Macaca mulatta: one gene and its partner. The protein of the gene in region 2 interacts with the protein of the main gene of each other region in a biochemical or structural test. Links are inferred from orthologs where the notes say so. Each region holds a gene or a part of one and is shown on either strand. Other genes may lie near its edges.

What was found. The genes of interacting proteins can lie anywhere in the genome.
Region 1: the proteins of DHX9 (region 2) and AKAP8L form a complex in vitro, tested with the Homo sapiens proteins (2 studies listed by BioGRID). The link is inferred for Macaca mulatta from reciprocal best matches to the Homo sapiens genes DHX9 and AKAP8L.

What each region holds. Positions count from the first base shown.
Region 1 is NC_133424.1:15,964,506-15,966,822, forward strand, and holds the end of AKAP8L (A-kinase anchor protein 8-like), read right to left. Parts: intron 1,051-2,317; coding exon 955-1,050; intron 868-954; coding exon 574-867; 3' UTR 502-573; downstream 1-501. Other genes in the region: AKAP8 (A-kinase anchor protein 8), read right to left, coding at 163-181. UniProt on the Homo sapiens protein: Could play a role in constitutive transport element (CTE)-mediated gene expression by association with DHX9. Increases CTE-dependent nuclear unspliced mRNA export.
Region 2 is NC_133406.1:40,318,613-40,322,271, forward strand, and holds part of DHX9 (ATP-dependent RNA helicase A), read left to right. Parts: intron 1-263; exon of another isoform or gene 264-400; intron 401-1,220; coding exon 1,221-1,267; intron 1,268-2,752; coding exon 2,753-2,889; intron 2,890-3,199; coding exon 3,200-3,289; intron 3,290-3,375; coding exon 3,376-3,537; intron 3,538-3,659. UniProt on the Homo sapiens protein: Multifunctional ATP-dependent nucleic acid helicase that unwinds DNA and RNA in a 3' to 5' direction and that plays important roles in many processes, such as DNA replication, transcriptional activation, post-transcriptional RNA regulation, mRNA translation and RNA-mediated gene silencing.

The DNA.
Region 1 (2,317 bases), on a different chromosome or scaffold from region 2:
CCAATGAGCGGCGCGCGCGCGCGCTCTGGCCGCCTCTCTGCAGGGCCCGGCTGCGGCAACCACACTCCGGACGAAGGCCCGGCCCGCGGCCGTCTGCGCAGCGGCTGCGTGGCTCGCACTCAGCCTTCGCTACCTACTCTGCACCCAGCAGCCTACACAAACCTCCGTAGCCCTGGTCCATGTCTTCAACGCGGCCCACCAGCAGCCCCTTTTACTAGGAGACCACAGCACGCATGCGTTCAACGCACCTCCGCCGTCGACTACTGGAAGACTAGGCGCACACGTCACTACTTCCGCGCGCTCCCATTGGCTGGCATTCACGAGGGTCCGCCCTCACCGTCCCAGCTAGCCTTTCGGGCTGCGAAGCTCCACCTCCGCAGCCTGTCGGGAGTTGTGGTCCCGCAGCGGTGCCCGAGGGCCCGGCCCGCGCGAATGCGCGCCCCGCCTCTCGGCCCGCGCCCCGCCCGGCCCGCGCGGCACCGTAACAGAGAAACCGGGAGGTGGGATGGGAAAACTTTATTAGGTTTGGCTTCCAGCTTCGGCCACGCGGGCCCCGCCCGCCCCGAGCTCGGGTCACGGGACGCCCCCGCCGCCCTCCTCGTCGTCCTCAACGTCGAGGCCCGGGATGCCGCGGATCTGGCGTTGCAGCGCCCCTCCCAGCAAGGGCACGGCGCCCTCCTCCTCCTCCTCTGGGGGCGGCGGCGGTGGCGGCGACACGGCGCCGGGGGCTGGCTCTGGGGGCACGGGAGGCTGCACCGGCGCGCCCTCTGCACCCTCCGAGACCCCTGCCGCTTCGCCCTGTGCCCCCTCGTCCAGGGCACCGCCCTCAGCCTCCTCCTCGGGGCTGTCGGTGAAAGGGTTCTCGCCCTGTGGGGAGGGGCGCGGACACTGAAGTGAGGGAGCACAGGCAGGGACTGAGGTGGGGACAAGCCCAGGCCAGGACCAGCGCCTCACCTTCAGGTAGCGCTCCAGCTTCTTGCTGATGAGCTTGTTGTTGAGAATACTGCGGGCCACCATGAGCGAGGACTTCTTGGACTGCTCCATCATGAGCTGCGGGCAGGGCAGAAGGGGCTGGAGAGGCTGCTCTGAGTGCCCTACAAGTTCCCGCCCCGACCCTGCCAGTTTAGAGGGACGCCCCCCTGCCCCTCCACCCACGCTTCCACCCGCTTCCACCCGGAGCGCAGCCCCACCAACGGAGGGCCACTCTACAAGCATGGAACCACAACCTATCTGATCTTTGTTCAAATTCCTTCTCCTTCCACACCACACTTACTGTAGGTAATTAAAAATACAGATCTATAGATCTCTATATATCTTTACGGCTGTATTACAGAAATCTGATTTGCTTACAAAAAAGCTATAAGCAGTGAACAAATTAAGAAACTAAGAGCCAAAGGTGCAACCCATAACAAGGTGCCAACTAGGCTAATAGGCAAGGAGCACTTTGGGACCAACGGGGAGGGTATAAAAGCAGGAACAGATATTTAATCAAACATGTCTTTTTAACCCACAGAATTCCAAGAATGAAGAATTATTCCCAGTCATGCAAGGTTGAAGAGACACTTCTATGCTGCTGGGAGGATCAACTGTTTCCATATTTTTTGGAAAGCAGTTTGACAGAATGTATGAAAAGTAAAAATCTGTTTCATTAATCCCTTCCCAGAACCTATCCTAAATTTAAGAATTGGAAACATACGTGCACACTGATTGTAGTGGTGAAAAATGGGAAAACACCTAAACGTTCCTCAGTGCAGAAAAGGTTAAATAAATTGTACATTCAAAAGAACGTCATGCAGCCCTTCAAATCGGGCTCATCTCTCCAATGGCAAAAGAAAGGTGTATAATATAGTACTGTCTGCAAAGCATGCCAGAGCCATTTTGTCTGGAAGGATTTCCGTCAGTATGCGGGGCCATTTCCTCATGGTGGGAGTACAGGCAAATCTCACTTTGATCATTATAAAAACCGTAAGCTAAAAGGAGGATATTTTTGGCGGGGTGGGAGAGCCCACTGAGTCCCGCCCACTCCATTTACATGTTTCAGAAAGCCTTCTCACTTGCTGCTTCTACTCTCTCCATCTTCATTTTTTTTTTCCTTAGCACGTTTTCTCTACTACTGGAGGAAAATATTAACAGACATCATACATGCTCATAACAAACTAAAGATACACAATTAGGATACTACTATAGACCGTTCCTCAGTGACTCTTTCTCACTTGCCAACACTTTATCCTCCTAGCTCTGGATGCCCAGATGACCACACCATAAATTCTCCCAACTGAGGCACATTTATATTGCTTCCACATTTTCTCCACAATAA
Region 2 (3,659 bases):
GCAGACATTTTTTGTTATCAGTATCTTACCATAGATTTCTGATACAAAGCAGTGACGAATTCAGGAAAAGACAATGTGGGAGGCACAGAAATTGGGGGAGCCAGGACAGCATTGCTCTTTGTATGTCCTTTTATTTAAAGGCATAACAGACAGCAACACCAGAGGTCTGTGTTCATACACACATGTGCTGCTGCTTAGGCTGAACTAAGCAATCACATGGGAAACTATTGTAAACTGATTTCTGGTGTCGCTGTTCCCCCTAGGTGGAGGAGAATGAGATTGAGTGCTGACTTTAAGCCTGGCTGAGAAACATACTGGCATCGATGTCATTAATGAAAGGGTGGATGTTGTTCCCCTGAAAGCCAGTGGCCTTTGACCCCTGAAGCCGCTGTGCCTGAAGGTCAGTTCACACGAGGTATAGGAAGGAGTCTTAACATTTATTTTTTTCTTAAGCCTCACCCAGCCTTTTATTCACACCACCAAGTCTAGGTTAGAATGTATCTGAGCAGTGAAGGGACCAGAATGCATAGTTTTCAAAGGGCAGTTTTTCCCTTACTAAAACCTAAATTCATTTTTTAGACTCTGCTAGCAGTTTTAGATGTAATGTTACAACATGTGTTTTATTCTCCAGGACCTGATTTAAATAAATGTGATAAAAATAGGCTAAGTTTTTTGTCATCCAGGGCTGCTTCCAACTGCAGGCAGATGTGAGAACTCTGCCTCAGGAGCCATTGATTATGCACAAAGTGTATGTGCATGTGTGTTTGCGTATATTAGCTTAATAGATCGCAGTCATTACTGAGTGGCCTATGCAAAGGAATCTTACAATAATTATAACTGTAATGTAAAACATTTGGGGCCTGCTTTATTTCTTGGCTCCAAGCTAAGTGGAAAATTCCTTTTCATGGAATGTGTTGTAGCTCTTGAGACTCCAGCCTTTGGAATAAGAGTAAGTAAATATAAAATCTAATACCCTAACGTTTTCCTTTCATGAACAATTGGCTCATCAACTTTGATTATAGTTGTGTTATGCCATGTTGTATATTATATGAAGTTTATATACTTCATTTGTTCTAGGGTTGGGCAGAAATAAATGTTGGTAATTTTTTTTTTTTCTGTGATTTGCCTAAGCAGTTGGAAAGCCTGCCTGACTTGGGAGACCTGGATTTGCCAGTTTCTAACAGTGAAATTTCTAACCTTGCTTGTATATGTTGTTACAGGAGCTTTATTGCAGAAATGACCATTTATATCAAGCAGCTGGGCAGAAGTAAGTGTTACTGTTACCCAATATTCCAAGTCTTTGTATAGAGAAGGAATCTTCACATTTAAGTCTTGAAATACAGAAGCTGTATTATTGAAAGAGCACGTGATATAAGATAGCATCTAGGGTATATATTAGAATATTAGTAATTATAAAGTAGAGGCAAAGTCTCCCAGTTTGCATGTGAAAACAGACCGTGTTAGTGTAGTATTTCAAAAGTAAGACACAGTGAGATGATTAGGAATCTGCCAGCGTCAAAGAATTTTAAACTTTTTTTTTTTTTTGAAATGGAGTCTTGCTCTGTCGCCCAGGCTAGAGTGCAGTGGCGTGATCTCGGTTCACTGCAAGCTCCGCCTCCCGGGTTCACCCCATTCTCCTGCCTCAGCCTCCCCAGTAGCTGGTACTACAGGCGCCAGTCACCACGCCCAGCTAATTATTTTGTATTTTTTAGTAGGGACAGGGTTTCGTCATGTTAGCCAGATGGTCTCGATCTCCTGACCTTGTGATCCGCCCGCCTCAGCCTCCCAAAGTGCTGGGATTACAGGGGTGAGCCACTGCCCCTGGCCTTAAAACATTTTTTCATTTTTATATATAAAATGAGTTATTTTGAGTGGATGGGTAATACTAAGGGAGAGAGGATAAAGGCGGGCTAACTTATGTCAGCTCACTTATCAAGGTTAATTTGGCTAGTTAGGCAGAAAGATATCTTTGTACCCCTTTGCTTTATATTCATCTCTCCTAAAGCTGAATGATACTGGAGGAGAGGAAACTTTCTATTAATATTTTCTTTAAGGATATGAGTAACTTAGCTTTAGTTTAATGCTGAAGTCAGCAAACTATATCCCTCTGGCCAAATCCAACTTACTGCCTGTTTTTATAAGAACTGTTTTATTGTGTAACATAGCTACACTCATATTTTAGACTTCACAGGTCACACGTTGTTATTTTCGTTTTATTTTTACAAATCCTGAAAACCGTAAAGCCATTCCCAGGCCTGTGGTTTGTCAAACTCTATTGTCAGTAAGTGCTTTCACACATTAAAGGCAGAGTTGAGTAGTTGTGACAAGAGACTCTATGGCCTGCAAAGCCTAAAATATTTATTATTTGACCCTTTATGGAAAAAGTTTCCCAAATCCTGGTCTAGTTAACCACTCTGGACCCAATTACTTTTACTGGTTTATTTTTTACTCTTTGTCTTTTCAAACTATGTTTTCTTCCCCTTTTTTAATGCCCGATGATCTTAACAGTGACAACTTTGTTGAAATAGATTATTTGCTTTCATAATATTGATTTGTATGAGTCCTAGTATCAGCCCGTAACCAAAACAGTTGGTTATTTAGTTGCTAAGCTGTTGGGCAATTTCTTTTGTTTAGCTAGAACCCATGGCATACACTGTATTTGAGAGCTTCTTGTGTACGTAAACCCATAGTTTCTTGTGATGTTTCTTCACTTAGGTGATTTCTTTCTGGTAATCCTGACCTTACATTACAGGGATTTTTGCACGAGAACATGGATCAAATAAGAAACTGGCAGCACAGTCCTGTGCCCTGTCACTTGTCAGACAACTCTACCATCTTGGAGTGGTTGAAGCTTACTCTGGACTTACAAAGAAGAAGGAAGGAGAGACAGTGAGTCTTTAGATTTAATAGACTTGTGAGATAGTGTAGGATTCAATTTAGCTCTTGTTTAGTATTTGGCTAAAGAAGTTTAATTTCAAGGAATCTTACCTCAGGGAATGAAAATGGTCCTGCTAATCATCTCTGTGTCTGGCATAATGTTCATAATAGGCAGTGAGTAAATAACCATTGAAGTAGTTCTTGCACTAAAGGGAACTGACTGTTGGTTTAGGAATATTGTAGACTTAGTATTGACTGTATAGTCTTAGCCCCATTGTAGTAGATTTGAGTAGTGTTGTTATGTGTGATCCTTTTTCCGTAGGTGGAGCCTTACAAAGTAAACCTCTCTCAAGATTTAGAGCATCAACTGCAAAACATCATTCAAGAGCTAAACCTTGAGATTTTGCCCCCGGTAAGCATAAAGCTATTTAGTTCACATTTGTGTAAAACACTCAGTAGACAAGCAAGTCATATTTTTTTTTTCTTATTTTTTAATAGCCTGAAGATCCTTCTGTGCCAGTTGCACTCAACATTGGCAAATTGGCTCAATTTGAACCATCTCAGCGACAAAACCAAGTGGGTGTGGTTCCTTGGTCACCTCCACAATCCAACTGGAATCCTTGGACTAGTAGCAACATTGATGAGGGGCCTCTGGCTTTTGTGAGTGTAATATTGTTTTTGAGATGAGACTCTTGTGTTTTACTCTTGACTATACTTCATTAGTATGTCTAGGTAAAAAATGGATTTATTTTGAAGCAGAATTACATGCTTTGTTTGACCAT